Regions from separate parts of the Mus musculus genome. Here all the other regions are reported to be linked to region 4. Evidence: microRNA targets listed by miRTarBase, many of them from high-throughput screens and not tested one by one. Region 4 holds a microRNA gene; each other region holds the end of a gene's coding sequence.
What was found. The annotated mature microRNA mmu-miR-1195 reads UGAGUUCGAGGCCAGCCUGCUCA and lies in region 4 at 2,556-2,578, shown strand. An mRNA with a match to its seed (bases 2 to 7 or 8) in the 3' UTR can be bound and repressed. Matches are read on the target gene's strand: a 7mer-m8 pairs with bases 2 to 8, a 7mer-A1 pairs with bases 2 to 7 and ends in A, and an 8mer does both.

Region 1: the mRNA of P2ry4 is a reported target of mmu-miR-1195. Seed matches in the 3' UTR shown: 7mer-A1 at 2,889-2,895.
Region 2: the mRNA of Slc35e2 is a reported target of mmu-miR-1195. Seed matches in the 3' UTR shown: 7mer-A1 at 1,660-1,666, 7mer-A1 at 1,082-1,088, 8mer at 1,053-1,060, 7mer-A1 at 230-236 and 8mer at 201-208.
Region 3: the mRNA of Thap2 is a reported target of mmu-miR-1195. Seed matches in the 3' UTR shown: 7mer-A1 at 1,672-1,678 and 8mer at 1,700-1,707.
Region 5: miRTarBase lists Slc25a51 as a target of mmu-miR-1195. Seed matches in the 3' UTR shown: 7mer-A1 at 1,112-1,118 and 7mer-A1 at 1,083-1,089.
Region 6: the mRNA of Tor1aip2 is a reported target of mmu-miR-1195. Seed matches in the 3' UTR shown: 7mer-A1 at 843-849 and 8mer at 871-878.
Region 7: the mRNA of Rad1 is a reported target of mmu-miR-1195. Seed matches in the 3' UTR shown: 7mer-A1 at 3,544-3,550 and 8mer at 3,515-3,522.

What each region holds. Positions count from the first base shown.
Region 1 is chrX:100,589,507-100,593,573 of GRCm38, reverse strand. P2ry4 (pyrimidinergic receptor P2Y, G-protein coupled, 4) reads left to right here. Exons shown (of 3, transcript NM_020621.4): 3 at 1-3,420. The coding sequence ends at 369. Among named protein-coding and RNA genes, the nearest start is that of P2ry4, 3.3 kb to the left of the region's middle.
Region 2 is chr4:155,618,473-155,622,539 of GRCm38, reverse strand. Slc35e2 (solute carrier family 35, member E2) reads right to left here. Exons shown (of 9, transcript NM_177186.4): 9 at 1-4,028. The coding sequence ends at 3,791. The region is part of intron 1 of Gm16023 (predicted gene 16023); the gene reads left to right. Among named protein-coding and RNA genes, the nearest start is that of Gm16023, 4.2 kb to the left of the region's middle.
Region 3 is chr10:115,369,209-115,373,275 of GRCm38, reverse strand. It overlaps Thap2 (THAP domain containing, apoptosis associated protein 2), which reads left to right. Exons shown (of 3, transcript NM_025780.4): 3 at 330-4,067. The coding sequence ends at 716. Among named protein-coding and RNA genes, the nearest start is that of Tmem19, 9.0 kb to the right of the region's middle.
Region 4 is chr17:70,859,069-70,863,135 of GRCm38, reverse strand. Mir1195 (microRNA 1195) reads left to right here and starts at 2,536; the gene lies at 2,536-2,633.
Region 5 is chr4:45,395,972-45,400,038 of GRCm38, forward strand. Slc25a51 (solute carrier family 25, member 51) reads right to left here. Exons shown (of 3, transcript NM_001009949.3): 3 at 1-4,067. The coding sequence ends at 3,270. Among named protein-coding and RNA genes, the nearest start is that of Slc25a51, 11 kb to the right of the region's middle.
Region 6 is chr1:156,065,105-156,069,171 of GRCm38, forward strand. Tor1aip2 (torsin A interacting protein 2) reads left to right here. Exons shown (of 7, transcript NM_172843.4): 7 at 1-3,757. The coding sequence ends at 354. Among named protein-coding and RNA genes, the nearest start is that of Tor1aip1, 31 kb to the left of the region's middle.
Region 7 is chr15:10,492,892-10,496,958 of GRCm38, reverse strand. Rad1 (RAD1 checkpoint DNA exonuclease) reads right to left here. Exons shown (of 6, transcript NM_011232.3): 6 at 3,264-3,805. The coding sequence ends at 3,628. Among named protein-coding and RNA genes, the nearest start is that of Rad1, 8.9 kb to the right of the region's middle.

The DNA of each region.
Region 1 (4,067 bases), not on the chromosome of region 4:
CTCCGCACCATTGCTGTGGTGCTGACTGTCTTTGCTGTCTGCTTTGTGCCTTTCCACATCACCCGCACAATTTATTACCTGGCAAGACTGTTGAACGCCGAATGCCGGGTGCTGAACATTGTCAATGTGGTTTACAAAGTGACTCGTCCCCTGGCCAGTGCTAATAGCTGTCTTGATCCAGTGCTCTATCTGTTCACGGGGGACAAGTATCGAAACCAGCTCCAGCAGCTATGCAGAGGTAGCACACCTAAGCGCCGAACAACTGCTTCCTCCCTGGCATTGGTGACCCTACATGAAGAAAGCATCAGCAGGTGGGCGGACATCCACCAAGACAGCATCTTCCCTGCTTATGAGGGTGACCGATTATAACAGTGGGCACTGGATATGACAGGAAGGGGACTAACTGCAGGCAGAGGGGAGGGAGCTCCTTAGTGACAGTTGATAGGGGCATCAGCTATCCTCTTTTTAAGCCAAAGTTTGAAGTAGTTACTCCTATGCTTCTTTCTCTTTTTCTGTCCCTTCCTGGGGCCACTGTTCCCGTTTCTCAAACCTCAGTACTCTTTGCTGGTTCTGCTTCCCCCAGGTCCTTCCACAGCATGTGTTTCTTCAACCAGAGTAGTGACTTCAACTAGAGGAGTGAAGGTAGAGCAATCTCAAGACGGGCCTGATGTGTATCATGAAACAAGGCAGAACCAGGAAGCTGGGGTACTAGCATAGCACAGATACCATATAAGTCACATGCAGCATTCACACCCACTTCCTGGCTCCCTCTCAAAGACAAGATAGTCCTACCTGTCAAGGTGCTGAAATAGGGTACAGGGCATGTGAACCTGCCTTGCAGGGCCCTACATACCCTCTCGAAGCCTGCTGGTGTTTAACTGCAGAGCAGCCATGAAACAGAATACTGCTCTTGGTTGCTGACCCTAAGGAACCTCCGGAGGCAGGGTCCAGGTTGATAGCAGCCTTGGAAGCAGGAATAAGATTACACCTACCTCTAGGACTTCGGGAGAACACACTTGATAGCTCCCACCTGTTTAATGAGAGGAGGAATGGACAGCTCTGACTGAGAAGGAAGAAAACCTCCAAGCTCTCCTAGTGATGGGCAAAGCAGGTTTGTGCAGAACCGGGTGGTAACAGGAGTAGACGCCCAGAACTGGCTCTTCACTGCTCTCTTCCCTTTCCTAGCTCTAGTTAGATAAAGCATAAATAAACCTGTCACCAGATCTTTTTGAATCAGGCGATAGGATTTCAAGGATTTCAAGGCTAGGGTGGGGCACTCAGTTTTCCTACCTGTTCAGTCCTCTTGCCGCAACACTTATGGGTTTGGAGGATCTGGTGGGTGTATGGAGCAGAGGAAGCTAAACCCTGAGCTCGAGAAGAAAGAGTTTCTGGGCGGGCATTCATTTTCAGCCTCGTTTCCTGTGAAAGTCACCTGCTAGCCTATTGGCCTTCTGAGTCAGCCCCCAACCTTTGCTGCTCTTTGTGATCACTACTCATCTACACACACCAACTTCTTATTGGCCTCAAGTGTTCTCTCTGTCTGGAGTGTAGGGGAGGGAGGTACTAGGCTACAGAGTAAAACAGCTAAATCATAATGCCCCTCTGCCTTTCTTTTTGTTCTTTAAATACATCTTTCTCCCTTGGAGCACAAGAGTTCTTCTATTAGAAGTAAATTAAGGGGCCCTTTTGAGTCTTACCAGGTCCCCACTCTTATGAGCACAATCTCCTTGCCCGTCACTGCTGCTAGCCATAGGCTCCATGTGGTAACGTTATTCTCTTCATTACAACTCATTCAAGCTCCTCCATCATTGGGCCCCAGAACTCCAAGCTGCTTAGTCAAGACTAACTTCCTGGACTTCATAGTTTGCTATTTTATCCTCCCCTGTCTCTCCACAAGATCTCACTGTGTACCACTGTCTAGCCTAGAACTAGCTACAGAGACCTGGGTGACCTTGACCTCATAGGGATCCACCTGGTTTTGTTTTTTGTTTTTTGTGGGTTTGCTTCCCAATTCCTGGGATTAAAGACATATGCTAGCAGGCTGGGTAAACACCTCAGTGTCTCTATGCTTCATTCCAATCTGCGTACCTGTGCTGCATTGTCTTTATCACTTTCTTCCCCATGGCCCCTTAATGAGGGACCTTGTTCCTTTTTTCCTTTGTCTTCATCTTTGTTAGTTACTTTCATCACTGATTTTATATCACCATATAAAAAAAAGACACAACTTTGCTGTCTCATTTTGCCACAGTTCTGTTAGTGTCTCCTCATTTCACTACTGCTATAAACACAAATCTGAGTTCCTCCCATTCTTTGGCACTTAGAACACAAATTATGTCTTTGGCAAGAACGTTAATATTTTCTCTACTCTTATCCCTCTTTGACCTCTACTTCACTTGACTCTACTGCATGTAATTTTATAGGTATTTTTTAAATATAAAAATAACATTTAAAATAACCTCACTGTGACAACACTGAAGGAAATGTGGAGAGAAAATATTTACCTATTTCAACCCCAAATTTCTGTTTTCCATACTCAACATTTTCTTGGTTTGAAGTCATGTATTATAGAAGTATAACCACAGTTATATCTTTTAAAAGTCTGCTTTTTAGGGTATTTAGAGTTTGGTGATGTATGCCTATAATCCCAAGAGTTGGTAGTAGACACAAGAGGGTTATAAACTGGAAGTTAGCCTAGACTACATAGTGAGACCTTTTGTCAAAACAAACAAATAAGTATAATCCTCTTATTGCAAACTTTCTCCAGGTTGATGCAATCTTTTTGTTTGTTTGTTTGTTTGTTTTTTGGTTTGTTTTTTGTTTGTTTTTTTTGTTTTTTTGTTTTTTGTTTTTTTGAGACAGGGTTTTTCTGTGTAGCCCTGACTGTCCTGGAACTCACTCTATAGACCAGGCTGGCCTCGACCTCAGAAATCTGCCTGCCTCTGCCTCCCAAGTGCTGGGATTAAAGGCGTGCGCCAATAGTTACATAAACTTACTTCCATTGGTAGACCATATCTTAATAGGCTATTCCCTTATTATTATTATTCCACTTAGGTAGGTTAGTTTTTCTGTGCTTTGAATATTTTCCTGTTTGTGACTTTTTTCTTTTTGCAATTCTAGCTCTAGTACAAGTTCTCAAGAGTGAGATTACCAGACCAAAGAGCACGAACATTTTTATGGATTGTGATTTTTCCCAATGACTGCATACATTTTCACTGTCACAGTGATATATGGCTAGCTTAGTTCCATTGCTGTTCCAGCATCAGACTTTATGGGAAATCTTTCTGGAAGAGAAACATTCAATTTGTTAATTTCACTTCTTTGCTTACCTATGGCATTGAACACTTTCTCCCATGTTTACTATTTGCATTCTTTTTCAACTACTACTTATCTTCTATTGAAATATTATATTATTTAATGTGTATATTATAATTGGTCATATTTGACTTATGTAACCCACTTATTACAATGCTTTATTCCTTCGTTTCATTCCCTAGATTTAGAATCGCTTTCCTTCTGCTTTTTGTTGATTACTTCCCCTCTCTCCTTTGCTGCCGTCTTTTTGTCCGATTCTTGCCATGTGGGGTGATTTAATCCTCTATGGATTATCAGATTGTTTATTTCCTCTTAGACAGAACAAATAGCAGGTAAATACAAGTCAATTGACTTCTAGTCCTTAAGAACCTCAGAGATCATCCAGAGCTTGGGTTCCATTTCATTTTCTAGCTGAAGAAACAGTCCCTGTGAAATGCCGTGCTTGTGACTTTCTCCATAGTGGCGGGTATTTCCCATGATGCCTTTCATTCTACCATGCCAACTTGGTGCTAGGCCAGAACCTTTGTCTCTCCAAACCCAGCTGACTGCTGGACAGGTTCACTTAGATCTTCCACTGTTGCTTCTAACCCGTAATTTAAAAAAATGAAACTGCCTAAACCAGTTCTCCTACTCTTGCTCATTTCTATTCATGACACCTTTCTTAAACTACCTAGGTTCTAATGTTACTGACAAACTCCACTCTTCCCCTAGCTCACCGAGTTCTGACATTGCTCTCTTTGCAAGGTGTAATTGGC
Region 2 (4,067 bases), not on the chromosome of region 4:
GATGACTTAGAAGAATCTAGAGTTCAAGGACACTATGGGTTACATAGGTAAATGCAATCTCAGGAGGAGCCGGCATTGTTTCCCATCTGTACTAACATCTTTCTTTACCCCTTTCCAATGTTAAGAAGACATCACTTGCTGGGCGGTGGTGGCGCACGCCTTTAATCCTAGCACTCGGGAGACAGAGGCAGGTGGATTTCTGAGTTCGAGGCCAGCCTGGTCTACAAAGTGAGTTCCAGGACAGCCATGGCTACACAGAGAAACCCTGTCTCCAAAAACAAAAAAAAAAAACAAAAAAAAACAACAAAAAAAAAAAGAAGACATCACTTGGACAGATGTGACAGGAGGCTGTGCTGAGCATCTGTTATTATCACTGAGCAAAGTGATCATCTGAGAGCAGGATCACAAAGCCACTTGTTTTGTGCTGTTTTTAAGGCACAAAGTAAAGTTTACTTGGCCGAATCCCTTGAACAGCTTTAATTCTCTTTAATCTCCTCTGACTCATCATTTTTACTTTTCTTGAGACAAGGTTTTTCTGTGTAACAGAGCCCTGGGGGTCCTGGATTTGGCTTTGTAGACCAGTCTAGCCTCAAACTCACAGAGAATCACCTGCCTCTGCCTCCTAAGTGCTGGGATTAAAAGTGTGAACCACCATCTGAAGACAGATGATAATCCTAATATTTGAGAAATTGTGATCATAAACATTTTTTTGAAACTTGGTCTCAATATGTAGCCCAAGCTGGCCTTGAACCACTATGCACTCTTATGCTTCCAAATTACTAAGATTATATGTATGTGCCATCATGATCGGGTTTAAAAACAAACAAAACAGGAGCTGGTAAGATGGCTGATCTTCAAGACGACCCGAATTCAATTCCCAGGAGCAACATGGCAGCTCATAATTATCTGTAACTCCAATTTCAGGGGATCCAACACCCTCATAAAGACACACATGCAGGCAAAACAATGAATTAAAAAAATACTTTCCGGCCGGGCAGTGGTGGCGCACGCCTTTAATCCCAGCACTTGGGAGGCAGAGACAGGCGGATTTCTGAGTTCGAGGCCAGCCTGGTCTACAAAGTGAGTTCCAGGACAGCCAGGACTATACAGAGAAACCCTGTCTTGAAAAACCAAAAAAAAAAAAAAAAAACCAACCAAACAAAAAAAAAACAAAAAAACCCAAAAAACAAAAACGTTTCCTTGTCTTTTAGTATTAGAAGTTTTGGGGTTATTTTTGTTGTCTCCCCTTTATCTTTCTGTCCCACATCTGCTGCTGGTGATCAACCCAAGAGCTTCACAATACATGCCAGTGATGTGCCACTAAGGTATACCCCAAATCATGGACGTTTTTAAATTTTATTTATCTATTTATCTGGTTTTTCAAGACAGGCTTTTCTCTGTGTTGCCCTGGCTGTCCTGGAACTTGTTCTGTAGTCCAGACTGCCCTCAAACTCAGAGATCCACATGCCTCTGATTCCCAAGTGCTGGGATTAAAGGCTTGCACCACCTCCCCTAGCAAATGTACTTATTTTTAAGATATATGTGTGTGTGTATATGTGTGTGTGTTCATACACAAGCCAGTGTGCAGATGCCCAGAGAAGCCAGAGGCATTAGAATCCCTAATGCTGAAGTTATAGGAAGTTGGTGAAACACTCTACATGAGTTCTGGGAACTGAACTTGGGTCCTCAGCAAGAAACATAACCACTCGGCCATCTCTGTAGCTCCTAGAACTATTTTTGAAATTAGAAATGTGTATATCTTTTAACTATGCGTGCAGTGAGTAAGCAGCTAGCTGGCTCAGAAGGTCAATCCAGTGTTCTGTTTACAACAGACCAGACAATGACATAAACTCAGGAGGAATTATCCAGGACAAGGAATGACACGTGGTGTCAATATTTGTACATTTACATCAGTAACAATTCATGAAGAACATAGTATTCTATGAAAGTACTAACAAAGTCAATTAAAAATGTATTGTTATGGTATAGTCATAACAAATGGTCAAGCAGGGCCGTTCCACGATTCTCAACCCAGCCCTGTCCTGGAAGACCTGAAGGAAGCAGCTGATTCCATGATCTTTCCACCTATGAGGAAAAGTCTCAAAGCAGCTTTAGAGAAAATTGCTTTAAGAAAAATCTTTGTTTTTGTTTCTAGCCCAAACCTTAAGAAAATCAAAACAAGCTGAGTCTTGTGACATGGGGGAGGGATGGCCAGAGCAAGTCACAATAGGTCATTTCCTAATTAAACATAGGACACAGGCAGAAATTCCAAATAATAGTAAGAAGCCAGGCATGTAGAGCTCTGAGCATACTTAGACAGGTCTGCGGGAAGGCCAGAAGAGCTCTGCCAACCAATACCCACAAGCACGTGCTCTTCGGTGTCAGCAGCTCCACAGCCAGATCTTGAGCAGACAGGTCTACACAGATTAATCCAACGTCTGCCATCTGTCCTCCACTGGATCTTTATTTTGAGAAGAGCAAAGAGGAAGGAACTAGAAACCTGGGCAAAGTCAAATGAGAGAACATCTTCACAATATCTTTACATAGCATAGTAAAGATACACCTAGCTGATGTCCAGCACACATCAGCTTCTTTTAAAAGTTGGCTTATGGATTAAAAGGCCTCATTTTGATCCATCATCATGGCAGATGGCTTTTTCAAGTAAATAAAATGTAGACATAATTATTGCTCTTTTTCACCCCATTATCTTTTTGAACCACCATGTGCACGAAAGACTTAGAGCAGGGAGGACCAGTGAGACCTGGACAAGGAGTGCCAGTGGCTGCAGCTTGTAAGTAATGGAGTCTTAGAGACTGGCTAGCAACAGACTGCACCCCACACACAACTCACAAAATGCCGAATAATGTAGAACCTCAGCGTGTTAACCCAAGGCCCACTGTTGTCCTCCACTCCACCTTAAGCTCTGGAGACCTGGTGGCTCAGGCAGTCATCATATGATCCCTGGTGAAGAGTTAGTTGTGCATGTACACTTTGATGTACCTTACATGGAGACACAGAGAAACCTCGACAGGCACCTGCTACATCAAAAAGAAGTGTCCCTTTAACTACAGCATAGCCTATAAACACTCAAATGCTCGTCAGAACGTCCCTATCAAGCATCCTGAAGGGAAATCTTCATAGGGCAGCCACTGTGCCATTCAGAATCGCCCGCTTCACATTCACATACTTAAAATGGAAAAGCACTCCAGACCATCTGCTTGAATTAGAGATTTGCTGCCAACTTCCCAGAATGGGCAATCACAAAATGGTAGCAGAAACATGGGACAACAACCCTGGAGCAGGGTAGTTCAATGTAGCACAGGCCAAGGAGGAGACACTTCTCCTTCACACAGCACTGTCTCTCCGTGGCAGGAGAAACTTGTCTCTTCTGCCTGCTACTCTGGGTTTTATGGCTCCATGCTAGAGTCATTGGCATCTGGAATGTCTGTTTCATAGACTGTCAAGAACCAAGAGGCTTCCATGGTGGTGGTGGTGGTGGTGGTGGTGGTGATAGAAAAGTTTAGGTCTCCTGGATGGCATCAAACAGACAGCAACTCGGGTTGATCCTGGAGCCTGTGCTTATTCCACAGTGCAGGCTGGGCACGGAGACACTGGTTCACTTGCAGCCAGGGAAGCTGTAGATCATTTGGTCCTGTGGTGCTCTGCCAGGCAGAAGCTGAGTCCCAAATTCCCCATCTGATTTCCAGGAAGGAGCGAGAGACCTGCCCTGCATCATTTCCCTCTAGTACAGAAGGAACATCTAGGCCTGGATCTACACAGCATCAGGTGATCAGTGGTGCTGTCTAGAGTCCTGGGGAACAAGGGGCTCTGTGTCATCTTCTGGGTTTCGGCTGGTGGCTGTGACCAGACTCTGCATAGTCTCCTGCTGATACTGCCTGGCCTTGTTGTAGAGCAAGACACCCAATGTGACAAGGATGGTGCCAATGGCAGACAGGCTAGTGATTTTGTTTCCAAAAACGATGATGCTGAGCCAGATAGACAAGGCGTGCTTCACAGTACTGGCGACACTACAGCAGTAGAGATAACAGTCAGACTCTGGGTTCACA
Region 3 (4,067 bases), not on the chromosome of region 4:
TTTAAAATCAATGTTTAAGTAAGTCTGCAGATAAAGGGCATAAGAAAGGCACAGTGGCAACGTGGCTTTAATGCCAGCACTCAGGTGGCCGAGGCAGGTGGATCTCTTTGAGTTCAAGCCGGCAGCCAGAACTGCACAAGGTGAGTCGCATTCATTCAACCTACTGAGACCCTTAAGCCATGATCACATGAGCTAGCCTGCTGCTGTTACCCGGTAAACCTTAAAAGCAGGTCTTTAGAGATGAGTTAAATACTGTGTTACTCAAAACTGGTCACTGTTTACTTATGTGTGGTATTCATAATTTATGTTAAACTCTCTGTTCGGCTCAGAAACTCAAGTCAAGGAATCTTCTGAAGACAAACAACAGTTTTCCTCCAACTGGACCATGTAATTTAAAGCTGAACGGCAGTCAGCAAGTACTGCTTGAACACAGTTATGCCTTTAGGAACCCTATGGAGGCGAAAAAAAGGATAATTAAACTAGAAAAGGAAATAGCAAGCTTGAGAAAAAAAATGAAAACTTGCCTGCAAAGAGAACGCAGAGCAACTCGAAGGTGGATCAAAGCCACGTGCTTTGTGAAGAGCTTAGAAGCAAGTAACATGCTACCTAAGGGCATCTCAGAACAGATTTTACCAACTGCCTTAAGCAATCTTCCTCTGGAAGATTTAAAAAGTCTTGAACAAGATCAACAAGATAAAACAGTACCCATTCTCTAAATGTAAAATGGAAGAGACTCTCTGCACTCAAGTTTTCCTCACACAGAACCCAGTGCCCAGCTCCTGCCGTCCCCACCCACCGCACTCTGACAGTTACACTACAATCAAGTCCTGCAGTTTTACTTGAAGTAGTAGTGTCAGTGTCACTCTCTGGAGACTGAGGAAGTGGGAAATCCAATGACAAGCTTGACACCGAGCAGAAGTGCCTTACATGAGGGTCACGGACTTAGGAAACACTGCCAGCAGGGTTTCTGCTCTTGTTTTTTTAAGCTGCTGTCAAATAGGAATGACAAGTGATATGTTCATAAAAGTAAAAGCATTCCGCACCAAAGCTGGGATATTACATTCTAAAGAACATGTGAAGTAGGAGCTAACTGCATTAAATATGATCTTAAAACTACTAATGTATTTTGTATGAATTAAATTATTGGGATTGTGGTTGAAAATTTTATAGAATAAAACCTCTGGGGTACGGGGCAAGGTTTGTTTCTTTGTTTTGTTTTGTTTTTTGTCTTTTTTAGCCTTTTGTATTTTAACTAGTAAAAGTAAACTTATCATGGCCTTTTTTTATAAGAACATTGAATTTAAAAGTAGGTTGTAAAATAATCTGAAATAGTATTTTGAATGTGAAATACCTTTGAAACTCCAAACTAGGTAAGGCCCCAAGCACCTCAGACTGGGAAAACCCAGTGAGTTATAGTCAACGTCTAAGAAAATATACAGAAAAGAATGCAGAATTGGAAGTCTAGCTTTTACCCTAACAAAACAAATAGACAAAGGTACATTATTTTTTTCTCTTATAATAAAGATTTTGAATCTCCATCTTCATAATTGATATGTTAATAAACACTTTAGACCCATTTGTTCCTCGCATTGATAGCAAAATCTTTTTTTTTTTTGGTCCTTCCCCCCCACCCCCCAGACAGGGTTTCTCTGTGTAGTCGTGGCTGTCCTGGAACTCACTCTGTAGACCAGACTGGCCTCGAACTCAGAGATCCGCCTGCCTCTGCCTCCCAAGTACTGAGATTAATGGCGTGCACCATCATGACCACTGCCTGACTTGACAGCAAATTCTTAAACTGATCTTTCTTTTTTGTGACGACTTCTGCCTCCCAAGTGCTGGGATTAAAGGCGTGTGCCACCACCGCCCGGCTGTGACTACTTCTTAATTACCTTTTTTTAATGTCAAAAATAGCTTTTCCCTCCTTAATAAATCACAGAATAATTTAATCCCAAGGAACTACATAACTATATTGTATTTCAGACCCAGGTCTGGCTGCTGCATATCCATGTCTGAGGATGGGAAAGCTTCTAAGAAAGTGTCTGAGGATCTAAGAAGGTGTTTTAAGGTTGGGAAGTTCAGCATAGAGGGCGGGGTATGGCATCCATGCCCTGTACCAGGTAGGGCCTGGGGGAGCTGAGAGGACCTGGAGCCCAGGTCCACTTTGGTACGCTAACTATGCACCTCCGCCACTTGTCCTGGGTGTGAAACCCAATAGTGTCAAGTTAAAACAGGCTCAGTTTATCTTACTCCATCAGCTTGCTTTTTAACCCCTCCCCCCCCTTTTTTTGGATAATTGAAACAACTTTAATTCATAATGGAAATAAAATACAGTCCTCTAAAATAATGTGTGTCTCTGTGATAAAGCTATGCAAATGCTGATATTTATAAAATAGAAATAGCAAAATCGCTCTTCTGGAACCACTTGCACCTTGAAAAGGCCTTGTGTCACTAAAAGTCTAATAAGAGCCCTCCCTTCAAAATAAGAGCCCTTCCTTCAAAAAGCTGTGGCTAAGTAAGTAAAAGTGTATTCACATAAGTTATGTAGTTCTTCTTCAAGTTTGTGAGCTTACCATATGAACATAACATGCCTGATCACACGTGACTGTAAACCTTTCCTACACAGAGATGGAATTTGAATTCTCTGCCATCTCTTGGGCTGTTCCTCTCTGTCCCACCCAGCAACCAGCACTGTCTAGTAAGAATTGTCTTCCCTGCAAACATAAGGGTGGGAAATGGCTCTCTTAGTTTTCATGTGATACTTATGACCAATACTCTATAAACTCTTTTGTAGATGTGATCACCCTTGGTAGCTATCTTAAGTATTGGGTAAAGTTCCTTAAATTTGTCATTGTATATTTTTTCCTAATACTGGTTCATGTGTCTTTATATTATCTCAAATATCCACGGCAAATACACTGAGTGTACCTACTTGATAGCCTAAAATAAGCTGGGTAACTAATCGTATTAACATAACCTATGCTCTTGAAATGTAAACTTTCATATGGTTTACCATGTTCCCCAAGCCCCAACCACTAATTCATGTGGTCTGCCTAGGGTTTGTATCTTGATATCTTAATACATTTTTTTTTAAATCATAAATGTACAGCATTGTAAAATACAAGCACTTTTGGCAAAGTTGCATAGTCTTCATTCAGTATCATCAGCCTTTAGTTTCTTTGGGCTGTGTTGTTTGTGTGCTGGAAATTGAACCCAGGGCTTCACGCATGCATGTATACGCTCCCACGGAGCCACATCCCCAGTCTTTTTCATTCACTATTTGTGGACACCATTGAATAAACCATCCTCTCAGTAAATGTAATTCTCTGCCTGTTTTCTTCATGTTATTTTCCCAATAGCATGCTGCAAAGCCTCTTTACATGACTGTATCAATAACACATCTGTCCACCTTTAAAATGGCTGCCTAGCTAACACACATCTGTCACGGTAGCCACGAGGGAGAAGGAAGTGAAGGTGGGGAAGCAGGAGTTCCAGGCTTTTAAAAACATTCAAGGAATCCTACAATCCTGCCTTCAGTGTGCTGATAGATTTATTTAGTTGACTGTAAACCAGAAAACTGATGGAGTGAGGCCTGATGAAGCCAGAGGACAAATGCCTCTAATTCCTGTGCTTTGGAGGAATAGTGGGAGGGCCCAAAACTCAAATAGCCAGCTTAGGCTATTTGAGACCTTGTTAGGAAAATAAACAAACCTGTCAGAATTACAACAGTAATATCTGAGTCAGACCTCACAGATCTTCTATCTGTCCAGTTTGTCTACACGCTACTAACATTCACAAAGCAAAACGAAAAAACAAAAACACAGCTGAAGGTTAGGAATTTGATATAAAGACAAATACTAGACTGGGAGATGTGTCCTGTTCAGCATGCATCAAGCCCAAGGTTCAAACTCCAACACCCAAAAGGGGTTAAATACAACACTGGCTACCCTTCGGTTGCTGCAAGCCTCCCAAAAGAACGGTGCTTATTAGAATATGAGATGCATTCTATGAACGAAATAGGTGTAAGATGCTTCGGTACACGCTGTTGAGTTGAAACTCAATGGAAAGCG
Region 4 (4,067 bases):
GCCTCAGGACCTGGCAGCCCTAACAAGCTAGGTGTGGTCAGCTGTCCACCGTCACACAAGGGAAGGGAAGAAACCAAAAGCAGAGAAAGGATGTTTATTCAAAATGGCCACACTGGGGAAAGGAGCAAGCAACAATACCCAGTTCACCTTCTTACCCACTGAGCCACCCCGTCAGCCCGACCCTTGAGATTCTTGTAACAGTAATATATAACTGTAAAACTAAGTAAGACTTCTATAACCTGATATTAAAAGCATTTTCAATTACATAATCATTATATATTTATATTATACATAATATTATACATAATATAAATATTATAACTGCCAGAAATAGAGCCCTAAACACATACCCAGAATATAGAACACACAGGTTTTGTTTTAATTGTTGTTTTTAGGACAAGATCTCATAGAGCCTAGGCTGGGCTCCAAACCTCTGTGTAGCTAAGTAAAACCTTGAATTCATAATCCTCCTGCCTCCAGCAGTGACTACAAGGTGGGCAGAATCTGTGGGTTTGACTGGTGTCTGGGTGAACTTTTCACTTAGTACGGATTTCTGCTAAATGTACAAGTGCAAGAAAAAAAATTGTAGAGTCAGAAGAATGAGAGGCACAGTGTGGGACACAATGAAAAACACTCAGATGGGGGCTGGAGAGATGGCTCAGTGGTTAAGAGCACTGGCTGCTCTTCCAGAGGTCCCTCGTTCAATTCCCAGCACCCACATGGTGGCTCACAACCATCTGTCATGGAATCTGATGCCCTCTTCTGGTGTGTCTGAAGACAGCAACCCTGTACTCACATACATAAAATAAATAAATCTTTAAAACAAACAAACAAACAGAAAATCACCTAGATGTATTTCAAGAGAGCGCCAGTCAGTTGAAGAGTGTGGAAGGCAGAATTACTTGAAGTAGGGATGTTTTGTCTTTAAACCCCCAGACCAAAGGGAGGAAGCAAACAGGAGTTAGTTACCAGTGGCAGGTAGGGCTGTTCTAGCTTGCTATCTAGGACTAAGTACTCATTACCCTGAGGTAATGGGACTAAGTACTCATTACCCTGAGGTAATGGAAAGCAGGTTGCTTGTGGTTAGAAAAGAGGGCGCAGATATGAGAGGCGGGGAATGGAAGGCAGTGCTGTGTTTGCTGAAATTGGAAGCACAAAATAATGTGGGCCCCTCCTTTCCTCCACTACACCCCATCACACACATACTCTTGTTTTCACATATACTCTTACCTAGGTAGCCCAGAGTGGCCTCAAATTCCAAATTCCCATGCCTATCTCCTAAGTATCAGAAGTATAAATATATAGCTGTTAACCATTGTACCCTGCTTGAATTCATGATTTCCAACATATGAAGGTGTGTGTGTGTGTGTGTGTGTGTGTGTGTGTGTGTGTGTGTGTGTTTAGTTCTGCTGAGAAACCCAGAAGTAAGCAATCATGGTTCAGTAGCAGTGCACTAGACTGGAGCTCATGTTGATGTCTATAAGTGATTCTCTTTTCTACAAGAATAGCCAGCACTTGCTGGAAAAATGATCAGTCCAGGGCTTGGGGACTGGAGCAGGGGAAGTGTAGCATGCACCTGAGACACGCCACTGTCCCAGACGGTAAGAAAATCTTCCAAGAATGGTACAAGAGGACAAGGAAACCGGTTTGGGGACTATTGGTGCTGGCTGCTGCTGGGGCAGGGACAGTCACTGCCTTCAATTGTGTGTTCACTGGGTGAGTCTACCAACTTCAGCGAATGCTTCTATACCCAGTGGCACGTGAACCACTGTGGTTAGACTCAAGGGGTGCAAAACAAGAAGGCATGAAGGGGCTCGAGGGTTGTGCAGAGGTTAAGAGCACCTGTTATTCTTGTAGAGAACCCACATGGGGCTCACAACCATCCAAACTGCAATTCCAAGCATCCAATGCCCTTTTCTGGCCTCTGCAGGTAGCAGGCACACATGGGGCACATGAGTACATTCAGGCAAAACATGTAATATTAAAAAAGAGAGAGAGAGAGACATGAACATGTCAGAGGGACTGGAGGGGAAGATGAGAAGACAGGGAGAATAATCAGAATGCACTGTGTATATATCAAATTGTCAAAGAATAAATTAATAAAAAAACAGTTTGAGGAACTTCCTCTGGGTAAATCCAAGAATTTTTACAATAGTGGTGGTGATGATGATAATAATAATAAGAGGCTATTAATGCACTAAATAAACCAGGACTCCAAATGTCCTGTAAGTAGACAGAGCAGCACAGACAACTGGAGGGGCAGCTCTCCCTACCATAGGACACAGCAAAGCAATGGAGAAGGAATGATGGAGTGAGGAGGCTGAGATTGAAGGCTTCAAAGACAGGACATTCACCTATTTTGATACATTTGATAGATTTATCAACCATAAAGGAAAACATAATGCCCACAGTGGAGAGTTTGGGACACATCACCTTAAACATGAGATCAAGGTTATAAATAAATAAATAAATAAATAAATCTGCCAGGCAGCCGGGCTGTGGTGGCGCTCGCCTTTAATCCCAGCACTTGGGAGGTAGAGGCAGGCAGATCTCTGTGAGTTCGAGGCCAGCCTGCTCAACAGAATGAGTTCTAGGGCAGCCAGGAACACACAGAGAAACCCTGTCTCAAGAAGGTAAAAAGTAAAAAAAAAAAAAAAAAGAAAAAGTAAAAAAGAAGAAGAAAAAAGAAAAGAGAGAGAGAACAGTCTACATTCTGAGGGGAAGCTGTAGTAGCTACACAGTATTGAACACCACACACAAGGCTTATACACACGACACAGTCAAGCCTGCATTATTTGTAGAAATTTAAAATGTCAAGCTAAAAACTTGTTTCTATTCATGAGCACAATGTTAATTTCTTGCCATTTAATGAAGATGCCCTCTTGAGATGGACAGACGGCAGGACAGTCTAAAGCACTGGCCTTGATTGGGTGCACAAGCCTGACTGAGCTCAGTTTGATCCCCAGCACCCACTCGAGTACAAGGGTGTGCCACGGTAACCCAGTGCTCTCAGAAAGAGATGGAGAGTGGAGACGGAGAATCAGCAGAGCTTGCGGACCACCTAGGCCAGAGCACTACTCAGTGAGAAGCAACAGAAGAGACTCCATCCCCCAAAAAAGGTGCAGAGAGAAAACAGACTCCTAAAAGCTGTCCCCTGACCTCCACATGCCTGAAGGACACCTCCCATATCTCTGTGTGTGTGTTTTACAGAAAAAGGAAGGAAGGAAGGAAGGAAGGAAGGAAAAAATATAAAGGTTTTTGTCTTTTTGCCCATGGTCACTTGAATCATGAGACAAAATAAAATTTTCTTCCCTTAAATTGCTTTTTGTGGAGCCTTTGGTTACAATAACTATCCAATTCCAACCACAGGAGGAAAAAAAAATGTGTGAAGATTCGAGTGTATTTCATCAATCAAACAACACAGAACAAACTGAGCACATAGTGTGTCGGGTGCCAGCAGAAAGAATAGAAACGCACATTGAAGAGTAAGCCTGCCGGGCGGTGTTGGCACATGCCTTTAATCCCAGCACTCGGGAGGCAGAGGCAGGCAGATTTCTGAGTTCGAGGCCAGCCTGGTCTGCAGAGTGAGTTCCAGGACAGCCAGGGCTACACAGAGAAACCCTGTCTCGGAAAACCAAAAAAAAAAAAAAAAAAAAGAGTAAGCCTGCTGGAGCAATTTTTTATCTCTTTATTAACCTAAATAATGGGTTATTAGAACTAAAAGCATTAAAGTGCCAACTAGAGATGAAAAGTAATTGTTCTCTCTGGAGAAACATTTAGCCTTAGAAGCAGAAAACAGCAAAAGACAATGGGGTGTATAATTCTGGGGTGACCAGACCTGCCTCTGCCTCCCAAGTGCTGAGATTAAAGGCATGCGCCACCACTGCCCTGCAGACCCAGCCCTTTTGTGAGTAAGTTCAGAGCTACAGATCAGACAAGCTAGAACATTAATCATAACTGCTGATCCAGAAGTGATGTGATGTCTGGGGTTTATATCAAACAATAGAAGTAAGCAGTAGCTTGTAGATGAAGGAAGACAGTTCAGGGGTCCAGAGTACACACTGGCT
Region 5 (4,067 bases), not on the chromosome of region 4:
CACCTCCTCAGCAGTTTGGCAAGCAAAGAGCATTAAGTTTATACAAAGAGCATAAAAAAGTAAAAAAATCTTTAAATCTAGAGAGAACATATTCAAGCTTTTGATATGCATTTATTTATATAGGAGAAAAAATACATTTGACATAAGGAACCCAAGCATGAATGCCTTCCTGGCAACAGTCTGGCCCAGCGGTGACCACATCCACCCAGCTCTCACCACCCTCAAACCAGGGTTCACTCTCTATTAACCACTTACACGAGGCCAGCCCTCTAAACCTTACAAGTTTATCTATATTGTCTTTGAGCTTAGGAATTTCAGGTACTCAAATAATACTATGTATGTACAATTCTGCTTCATTGCACAGGGTCACAATATATAGCAAGTGATTATATGACCAACCACAAGATAAACGTTGATAGGCACAAACATCTGTCTCTAACCACAAAGGAAGCAAAACCCCAATTTGCCACAATGCAAAGGCTGTGTTGACCCTGCTACCGTCCTGAGGGTTTACAGCACTGGTGTGTTAAATGCAAAACTCGTAGGTTTCTAGTGGCATCAGACAGGACACACGGGACACTCGTGTCCTGCACTCATGAGCCACCTGTGCCACACATGTAACACAAAGGCCACTTTAAAGCTTTTCAGAGTTCTTTAGTCTTTTTTGCCTTTAAAAAATATCACCGCACTAGTTAAGACTATTAATTACATTCTGACATAGAAGTTCAAAGTGGATTACAAGCTCTGATTTTATTTTTGTCAAACTTAAATTTATCAGAGACAGAGCCACCTCTGTAATACACTGCAATCTAGTCTTTAAGAGCTCTAAGGGTGACAAAGTGTTTAAAAGTTAAAAAGCATTAGGAAGTTTAATCTTGCTTTAAAATGTCACATAATTAAGTCAGCAAAGCCAAAGCCTTGCCCTTAACAGCCTGGTGACCCTCAAAGGAGCGCTTTACAGCCGACACTTGCGCCACCTGCACGGAGTGTAAAGAAAACAAGGCCAAGTATAATCCTGGGCTGGGCAGTGGTGGCGCACGCCTTTAATCCCAGCACTCGGGAGGCAGAGGCAGGTGGATTTCTGAGTTCAAGGCCAGCCTGGTCTACAGAGTGAGTTCCAGGACAGCCAGGGCTACACAGAGAAACCTTGTCTCGAAAAAACAAAAACAAACAAAAATTAAAGTATAATCCCTGGTTAACTCCCCTCCCCTGTGCTGCATCTGGGCAATGCTGCACGTGGACACAGGGGTCAGGACCCAAGGCGCCATCTCTCGTTTCTGAGACTTCTCACCTTCAAATTGTAACTGAAGACAGTAGTACTCAGATGTATCTCAGACAAATTCTTGTCTGCCGAGTCCTCACATTTGCCCCTTAATGTCCGCACTGCACTTCCACCAGTGTCGCTCCAAAGCCGCTGACCTCCGTTACTGCCACCCCAATGCTTACCAGGCTCCCAACTGTTACAGCTGGATGATGGTAGCTTTATGTAACCAGCTTCAGTGTAGTTAAAGAGCTGTTTTGGATTACCTTCCCCAGAAACTTCTCTCAAACTGCAGCTGAGGGTCTGATTTCAGTTTATAGGTACATAGGTGTACACACACACACACACACACACACACACACACACACGCAATTACCCAATGAAAAACTTAGTAAGAAACCTATCTTTGGGGTTGGGGACTTAGCTCAGTGGTAGAGCTCTTGCCTAGCAAGTGCAAGGCCCTGGGTTAGGTCCTCAGCTCTGGAAAGAAAGGAAGGAAGGAAGGAAGGGAGGGAGGGAGGGAGGGAGGGAGGGAGGAAGGAACCTATTCTTAAGGACTGGGGATGCCAGGTCCGGCAGCTCACGCCTTTAATCCCAACACTCAGAAGGCAGAGCCAGGAGAGTTCAAGACGAGCCTGGGCTACCTGTTGAGAATCTGTCTCAAAATAAAATAAAACCAAATAAAACCAAAACTGGGAAGGCTGGAGTGTAGTGGGACAGCATTTGCCTAGGATGTGCAAGGCCCTGGGTTCAATCCCTAGCACCATTTAAAAAAATAAACAAACAAACAAAAAAAAAAAAAGCAAAGAAACTGACTTGCTTATGTCGACTCCTGGGAACCAAGCTGACCGGTGGTGGTCACAGACAGCTTCCTGAAAATTCTAAGCTACTTCCCAGACTGATGGTATTTCCATTACAGCATTTACCCAGAAAATAGCTATGTGACTCCTTGGCCTGGTTCCTGCCAGTTGGATCCTACCTGACCAGAAGTCAGGGCTGCTACTTAGAGCAGACATTCCTAAACGGCACAGTGGCAACTGGGCTCCTGAGTAGCAGAACCCTGAAATCTTTCTTCCCAGAGAAAGAGACGGGCGGCCAGAGGGGAAGCACCCTCCACTCCTTAGCTCACTCTGTAGCACTGAGAAACCAGAAAAAAAGAAGACTTGGGGTTGCATTAAAACCCCTGAAATAAAACTTTATGGAAGTGTTTATTTGTTTAAAGTCCAGTACCAGAGAGCAGGACAGACATGACAGTTACTATTCACAAGGGACAGTGTCCTCACTGGTTGGCTGTCGACAGCAGTAGCACAAAGAAGCAAGCAGAATAGCAGAGCCTGCAGTGACCAGCTTACCACGATGAAGCACACAACGGAATTTAACTAGGGCACCCTATCTTTTGGCAATGAATTCAGTAAAAACAGCACAAGGACATTCTGGAAGGGCTTAAAGTCAGACTCAGAATTAAACAGAAAGTGTTCAAAGCCAAACAGCAAAATGGAAGCGTTCATTAGCTGCTCAACTCTATCAAATGTGAACAGAAAGTTTAGATCGCGGCTATCTCAACAGCACTTATTTCAAAGCTAACCCCAACCATTCATCATGGAGCTCAGGCATGGCACTGAGTGGCACCTCTGCTCCAGTCCTCCGTGCAGAGCTGGGGTCTAATGATTATGGCCCTCTTAAGAGCAGAGACAAAGTAAATGAGGTGAGAATGAGCCTGAGATGCCCCGGGCTGGGGGCGAAGCACGCGCTCTGGCTGCGGAGGCCACAGCCCAGCGGTGCAGGCTGGTTCCCGGGCAACAGCAGCCTAAAGCTCTGGAGTAATGACCACACCCGAACCCTGACACCTGCCCACTGAAACCTGGACTCTGTTCTTGTCAGTGCTCTGTCTGCAAGTTATGGCTTGGTCTTGGACACCAAACTGTACTTAAGCCAATTAGGAACAAAGCCAAATTGCATTTTCCTTAGGTCTAGTTAGATGAGAATAACATCTCACATAATGATTTCATCATACAATCTTTAACAAAAACTCGTAAGTGGCATTGATTATTCCCCAGGAGATGAGAGAGCGGTGGTAATTCAGATGTGCACCTCTGAAGAGATTGATCAGCTTCCTGTCCCGCTCTATCCAGATAGTCTTGAAGACCATGGGGAGAGACAGGAATGGCCCGCCAATCTGAGACTGTATTCGAGCTTTGACAACGTTAATGGGGAAGCTTAAGAAGCCCAGCACGGCCCCGAGTACACCTCCACAGATGAAGTCGTTGACCAGGTGGGCGCTGTATGTAGTGGCAGTAGGCAGGCTCTCCTTAATGGGCCCTCGAAGGCCAAAAAAAAGGACATTGCCGAACCCATTCCGGAAAAGGATGGGCACCATGCCTCGGTAATACTCTGCAATCCCATGGCATCTGAGCGCCCTGAAGGCCTGGTAAGTGTTTGTGAACTTATCGTGATGTTTGTGGTCCTGAAGCAAAGTCTGAACCCTTTCGAATGGAGTGAGAATGGCTTCCGTCGTCCCGGCCAGCAGCGCCGCCACGCTACGGGTGGCAAACTCGGGAGCGCTGCTCACGTGCTTGTGGAGCAGGCGCGACAGGTCCTCATACAGACCAAACATAAGTGCCAGCGTGGTCGTCTTCTGCATCAGCGGGGGCAGGATTCCGCGGTACAAGTTGCGGAACCCATCCTTCCTCAGCTGCAGGACTGCATCCCGGGTCTTGATGCCGTAAAGCTGCTGCCGGAAGAGGATCTTCTGAACCGGGTAAGTGATCGCCACGTTGTTGAAGGCCGCGCAGTAGCCACACAAGTA
Region 6 (4,067 bases), not on the chromosome of region 4:
GGGTTTGAGAATGGCCACAAGGCTGCTGTGGTCCACCACTTCGAATCCCTTCCTGCCGGCTCCACCCTGATCTTCTACAAGTACTGTGACCATGAGAACGCCGCCTTTAAAGATGTGGCACTTGTCCTGACAGTCCTGCTGGAGGAGGAAACGTTAGAAGCAAGTGTAAGCCCCAGGGAAATAGAAGAAAAGGTGAGGGATTTACTCTGGGCTAAGTTCACCAACTCTGAGAGCCCCACCTCCTACAGCCACATGGACTCAGACAAACTGAGTGGGCTCTGGAGCCGCATCTCCCACCTGGTGCTGCCCGTCCAGCCCGTCAGGAACATAGAAGAGCGAGGCTGCCTTTTGTGAAGCCAGTCACAGAGGTGACATGGAAGGGCCATGTCTCAGGGCTCTGTCCCGCTAGGAGGTGACTGGCATGTGAGAGGAAACAGCTGGGAGGCCGTCACTGTGTTAGAAAAGAAGCTTTTTTTCTTTGACTTTTAAAAAATCTTTCTAGTCTGAACTTTGATAAAACTAACAATTGGCCTGATGTTTTTCTTTGTTTTTTAAAGCCAATCAGGGTTAAAATACAACATGATGTATTGTTTAAGTGTCCAGCACATCAGTAGAATAGAATTGTTTTGCACAGGAAGATCTGATTCTCCGGGGAACTGCAGCCCCACTGCTGCCTGCAAGGACTCTCACCAGCCTCTAGGGCAGTGCTTGGACCTGGACGAGGTGTCATGTAAATGATTTTAGAGAACTCTTCTACTACATATTAAGTGCTTTTTAATATTCACTTTTTTTTGTTGTTTTTTTCTGAGGCAGGGTTTCTCTGTGTAGCTCTGGCTGTCCTGGAACTCACTTTGTAGACCAGGCTGGCCTCGAACTCAGAAATCTGCCTGCCTCTGCCTCCTAAGTGCTGGGGTTAAAGGCGTGCAGCATCACTGCCTGGCCTTAATACTCACTTTAATAATACACTTGTGGGTTGATTGTGTCTTACACAGATTTGCACTTTGAGTAGGTGAAAACAGAAAACTAGAATTCAACCCTCCAAACCTACCTAAGAGCCTGGTGTGTGTGTGCTTCTGTTCCGTTAGTGAGCTGAGGCCAGAACAGCTGTGCTCAAAAAAGAACCTTCCCAAGCATTGGACTCAATGACGAAATTGTTAGTAATCACCAGAAATGAAAAAATCCCCCTTGGCCATGTCACTTGTCTTTGCCTACCCAGCAGCCCCTCCTTCCTGTGAATCATGCCTGCTCTTGGCTGCTGGGTTTGGGGTTCTCTGTTAGGATTTCAGTGGAGCTGAGTTTCACAGAGAAGTTTGAAAGCCATTGATGAAGTGAAAGTGCATTCTAGAGTAGGAAGGATAGGAAGACATGAAAGGGTTAAAGCTGAGGAGTAACAGGAAGTTCTGTTGTTCAGGGCGACAGAGACCTGCAGATGAGCTGCTACTGGAGGGTGTAGGGCAGGGCCGTGAGCTTTTGTCCCTTTCTGTGGATCTTTCCTGTCCTCCCCTGCTGGAATCTCACTGTTGTCTGTGTTCTTTCAGAAAAGACTTGAGGTCCTCAGCTAGTTAGAAATGCCGTCAGGAAAGGAACTTGATAAACACAAGGGGAAGGTCTCCTGTAGGGAACAGAAAGAGGAATCATGGCCAATATCCGTTGTTAAGCTACATCCCATGATTTCAGACTGGGGCCAATAAGCTGTTAATCAGTACGTGAACTCTGAAAGTAAAACTCTAGTAAAATGATCTTGACCCACAAAAGGTCTGTTCCTTTACATGGATGGGAAAAGCCCTTGGAATCTTGCACTCAGTTTTGGGTCATCTGCTGCTAAGAGATCATGTATACACTTAAGACATTAAGCAACCTGAGTCTAAAGGGATTTTAGGAAACACTAAGAAGATGTCTATTGGTAGTTAAATGGATCACAGAGACACGGGTGAGAGGTGATCTGAAAATATTTCCCACAAGATGGCTTTGGCCACAACCTTTGGTGTTAAGTAAGTTAAGTATGGGGGCACACATGAAACAGTATGTATTTGGGATTTTGAAGGAATCCTGATATAGATTTCAGAAAAGACCCTACACAAAGTTTAAGCATAGTGAATGGAATTTTTCTGTCAACTCATTGTAAAACACAGGGATTGAAGAAAAATCCATTTGCCATTTTTGAATTTTTTTTCTTCTGTATTTCTAGACTTATTTGTTTTGAATGCTAGTGGCTTGTCACATAGCCATGTCTGGCCTGGTGTTTACTCTGTAGCATAGGCTGACTTTGAACTTAGAGTAATTTCTCCTACCTCCGTGTGCTGAGTGCCGAGGCTACAGGTGTGTGCCATCATATCCAACTTTCATGTAAGCTCTTAGCCACTAGCATTACATCGCGTAAAACCACATCAAATCGCGTCAAAAGGTGCCTTGCAGACTGTCATGTTGGCCTTTGACCCATGCTACCTCAGACTCTAGAGGAATGTCTACAGTATTTGTGCACAGTCTATGTCAGTGGCTCAGATCACAAGTGGAAAGCAATCGTTTCCTCATTAAAACTATGTAAAACGACAGCCTTACATAGTTTCCTGTCAACACAAATTTAGGATATAATACATTTTAGAAATTTATTATTTTTCAATTATTTTTGGTTTTTTTACTACTTACCTTGTAAAAATACACTTTTCCTTTTGTCATAAGTGCAATCAGCTGAGTGAGACTTGTCAGTTGTTGTTGCTTTTTTTTTTTCTATCCTCTGTTTCAAAACTCAGGGCCTTAACATTCAAGGAAAGTGCCCTACCACTAACCTATATCCCAGACCTCTTAAAAGTCATTTTGAAAAGAAGCAGTATGTTAGTTTGGGGTCAGAACAAGTAATTTTCTGGTTTTGATACCGAGTCTCTACACAGTCCAAAGTAATGATTCTCAAGCCTCGGGCTCTTACAGGATGGGATTACGGTAGTGTGCCGCCACACCAGCCTATTATCCCGTGTACTGTCTTCTAGACCATTGCTTTTCATATTCAGTTTTCCAGCCTTTTATGTGTGTTGTAATTCTTTGTGATAATTTGCCTGTGTGTGTATGTTTTTTATTGGTGGTGGGGTTTTTTTTGTTTGTTTTTAACTAGGAATCCCTTCTTGAGTAATACCAAGTCTTAGAAGCAAGCAGGGGAAATAGAAACTGTCTTTAGACTTGGGTCTTTCTTTCCCTTTCAGGTAAAATTTAGGGTTCTTCTGGGCACCACTCAGAGATTGTCAGAAAAGCTCTAGAGAGTTCTTAACACTGAACTAATTTTAGTAACTTTTACCTGGAAGTCCGCAGGCTTAGGGGGAGTAGTGAGGCTCAGTACCCTTCCCATTGGCTTATGTGCCCCACCCCCACCCCCAATCACTGTGGCTGATGGTACAGCTTTGTCTCACAGCCTTTGGTCCACAGTCTTGTTAAAGACAGGAGCACTGTGAGCACGGATGTTGGCTATGACAGACAGATGCAGCCTGTGAACACGAGAGTAGTGCAGCAAAAATGATTTTCACCAACACTCTTACTTTCTCTAACAAAGATTTCTTAACCCCATAGAGTTTTGCCTTTATATATTTACAAATGTAATGGCTTGTCAAACTTACCAAATCACCATAACTGCTTTTTGCATTCATTTCCATAGTGATGATGTTGAATGTGCCTTATTCAAATCAATTGTCTGATTACTATACAATAAATCTCTTCAATTTTTCCTGACTGATTTTTTACTAAAATTTCCAAAATAAAGAATTTATGAAAATGGGTGTGCGGTTGTTAGTGGTGGGAAGAGTCAAAAGGATTCTGAAGCATCGGGTGGTGTTGCGGCTGTCAGGGACGAGGGGCCATGCAGGCGGTGTGCTGGACTCCTCCACCACCCTTGGCAGTGGCTGTGGGGCATTTACCCCCACCTGGCTCTCTCTTGACCAGGGGAAGAGTGAGCACAGCCTTGGGAGTGGTCCAAACATGAGGCTTGCTGACTGGGGATGTATTAAGTGTGGGTGGGGTGTCCAGCATCTTGTATGTTGGAAAGTAGGAAGGTGGTTTGTATTTAAAACTCGAATTTAGAGGCT
Region 7 (4,067 bases), not on the chromosome of region 4:
TCACTCCCTTACACAGGAATTTACCATCACTAAAGACCTAAGGGGAAGGTGGACTATACAATAGACTAAAATAGGAACTATGGCAAGGGCATGAAGCCCTTGAGCCTGACTTCTAAGATTAGTGAATCTTAGGTGGAGCCCTTGTTGATCCCAGTTGTTAACAATGAATTCTATCCCAGGTGGTTCCTGTTAGACCTTCTGTGTTTGCATTCCTCTGTTTTATGTAAGAATCCAGAAACCTCTTTGTACCCAAACTTCTTTGTATGTCACCCAACTTCCTTATTGTCTTCTGTATAAAAAGTCTGATACTCGAGTTGACATTACATTCAGATACTACACAACCTCTCCTGTGTGCATCTGTCTGTCAATTTATTCGACGCTTTGCCCACCTGAGACTAGAGACCCGTTCCACGCAGACAAAGGGGCCCAGAGGGTCTGCGGCATCTATTCCCTGAGACGGAGGTCTGTTGTGGTATCAATGAGCATATTGAAGTGCATATACCCTGACATGATTAAAAGCAACACTGGAAGGTGAGGATCAGGCTCAGTGGCTCAGCAGTTGCTCAACATGTGCTCAGTCCCCTGATTTATATTTCAGGTGACGAGGAACAGGAAATGTGAAGGTAGGAAGGGGCGGGGTCTGTGCATTTAAAAACCTGCAGTAAACTGAATGCCGGTACATGTGTGAAGGCCTGCAGACTTTTCAAGGGTTTGGGCTATCCCTCTGCCCCTTTTTGAGGCAGTTCTTTCGTTTGTTGTGCTGTGTACTCCAGACTAGCAGGACCACAAACTTTGTGCTGATTCTGGTCACCTCCCATCTGGCCCCGGGGTGCTGGGCTAACAGCTCCACAGCACTGCATCCAGCTTTCTCTCCGAGTCCTAGGACGGAAGGCAGCTCGTCAAGCTTGCACAGGGACCACGTTTACCCACTGAGCCACCTCCTGCTCTCCATCGCGTTCTGAAAGAGTCCACTCCAAACCGCTGAGAGGATCATAGCCTACCCCTTCAGGTAGCTGCAACCATGTTTTACAGGAATACTTTACATCCGAAATTCTGTGATTTAAAAAAGTATAATTTAAGAAATTATTTAGTCTATTTTGAGTAGTTAAATAAATTCTAGGTAGAAACATAAAATGGGGGAATAAACAAGGTTTAAAAAAAGAGAAAAAAAAAGGCTGTTTGTTTACCTATTTCTGGCAAGCAAAATTTTCCAAAAAGAAAATGATATAAACTTCAAAAACACAAAACTAAAAACTTATAAAACTCAACCTGTATTCTTCCACTGGCTGTTTTCAACCATCAGTAGCCTTGGGTACTTTTATTTGGGGACAGGAGTCATAATGACCGGAAGAGATAATTTTAGGAATGTTAAACACATCTTGCAATAGAGTAACATTATTTCCCCAAGTATCATGCCCCAAACCATCAGTGACTGTTAGTGTCTAGCATAGAAAAGAGAAATTTCACTTTAGACATATTTTTTCTACTGAGAAGGCTTATCATATGATTTTAGTATTATGTTTTGTTAATGACAAAAAAAAATCTATTGCCACAAAAGCTATTTTAGTAAAAACTACCCAGGGAAATACAAACATGGCTTGTTTTGTGTGGGGGATATGGACGCCAACCTTGTGAAGGAAAAAGTGCAATGGAGAGCAAGACAGCACAGGCTCCTGCGAGTCCTCCAAGAGTCCTGATGGTCCAGGGCATTAGATCTAAGATGGCTCCTCGAAGGCCAGTTAGACAGCAAAAAGGAACAAAGGCCAGGGCAGTACACCTCTTATCCCAGTACTCAGGAGTCAGAGGCAGGTGGATCTCTGTGAGTTCGAGACCAGCCTGGTCTACACAGTAAATTCTAGGACAGCTAAGGCTATGTAGAGAGTCCCTGTCTCAAAACAAACAAAACAAACTCTTAAAACCAAGTCAACAATAATAAAATTAACCATAGAATGCTTCAACTCAAATCATTTGTGAAGTCACCTGTCCAGCCAGGAAACCCTGTCGAGAGAGAGAGAGAGAGAGAGAGAGAGAGAGAGAGAGGGAGAGGAGAGGAGAGAGGAGAGAGAGAGAGGAGAGAGAGGAGAGGAGAGGAGAGAGAGAGAGAGAGAGAGAGAGGTGAATGTAATAAAACAAAAGCAAGAATAGTCTCTCAAACTGTGGTTCAGCTGTTTTTTTCACACTTTGGCAAACATCAGAATTTTCTGGAGGAAGCTTGAGAAAATAAACATTGCTCTCCCCACTAGCAAGTCTCAAGACAGTTCTGACACTGGTGTGATAGTGAGCCACTCAGCTTTAAGATCTAGTATCTGACTAGACAGTGGTTGTGCACATCTTTAATTCCAGCACTCGGGAGGCAGAGGCAGGCGGATTTCTGAGTTTGAGGCCAGTCTGGTCTACAGTGTGAGTTCCAGGACAGCCAGAGCTACACAGAGAAACCCTGTCTCAAACAAAACAAAACAAAACAAAACAAAAGATCTAGTACCTGGAATGTATACTATTATATAAAGAAAAGAACATATCGGATATGGCTCCATCCAACTTTGTATAGACTCTCAAGATATGTTAGGCTGGGCATAGTGGTGCATGTCTTTAATCCTAGTACACAGAGGCAGAGGATCTTTGAGTTTGATGCCAGCCTGGTCTACAAATTGAGTCCAGGACAGCCAAGGCTATTATACAGAGAAACCTTGTCTTGAAAAACCGGAAAAAAACAAAACAAAACAAAACAAAACAAAAAATCTACTTAAGTGGAAAAACCACAATGTATTCATGTTGATTCACTGATTCCCATAAGTTGGGAAGGTTGTCAGGGGGAAAGGAGAATGCTGGAGATATGGCTCAGTCGTCACCTCAGAGGACTAGGGGTTGGTTCCCAGAACCCACATGGAGGATTGTAACCACCTGTAGCTCTAGCTCTAGAGCATCAAATGCCCCTTCTGAACTCTGCAGGCACCAGGCACACATGCGGTGCCTATACATCCAAGGTAAGCAAACACACACACACACACACACACACACACACACACACACACAATGAACACAGGGTTTTTTTTTTTGTTTTTTTTTTTGTTTGTTTTGGTTTTTCGAGACAGGGTTTCTCTGTGTTGCCCTGGCTGTCCTGGAACTCACTCTGTAGACCAGGCTGGTCTCCAACTCAGAAATCCGCCTGCCTCTGCCTCCCAAGTGCTGGGATTAAAGGTGTGCGCCACCATGCCCGGCATGAACACAGTTTTAAAAAAGAAAAGAACAAAAGACACAGGACAGTACAGTAAGTCGGATAATTTATGGCTATATGAAAAATTTATTGACAAAATAAAAACTATTTACAGATTTACAGAATGGGACTGACCTTGCTCCTATTTTCTCCATGCATCTCTCTATACAATCCAAAATGAAATCATCAAGGTTAGAGAGTTAGAGTGAGAACGCCAACTATAAAGACACAAATATTCGCCGGTCGTGGTGGCGCATGCCTTTAATCCCAGCACTCGGGAGGCAGAGGCAGGTGAATTTCTGAGTTCGAGGCCAGCCTGGTCTACAAAGTGAGTTCCAGGACAGCCAGGGCTACAGAGAAACCCTGTCTCGTGAAAGAAAAAAAAAAAAAGACAGAAATAGTCAGTGAATTATTCAAGACTCAGGAACTTCTTCATCAGGGCAGCAGTAATATTCCACAAAACATATCTGCCCATCTTCATTTCTAATCATGTACTGTAAGGAGAGGAAGCCTCGGTTATCTGTCCGGATAGACACTTTACAGGATAAAGCTAGTGCCTTTGTAGAGGGCTTCAGTAGCGACAGCTTGTATCTGTGGGAGAGTAAAGGAAAGGCCGTTGTTTGGATCCACTAAATGCCATGCATGCAACACCAAGTAAAGACAAAAGTTAGTACTGAGTAGCAAGTACTTAACCGAGGTGCTGGATTTCTTGCCTTATCCACCCGCGATTACAACCCAATATCCCCAAGTAAATCTAGTGCCAACCATCTACTCTTTTTAATGCGATGTACTTTTTTTTTTAACAGATTAAAAGTTTTTGTATGGAACTCTGGTACTTAACTTTGTTGATCAA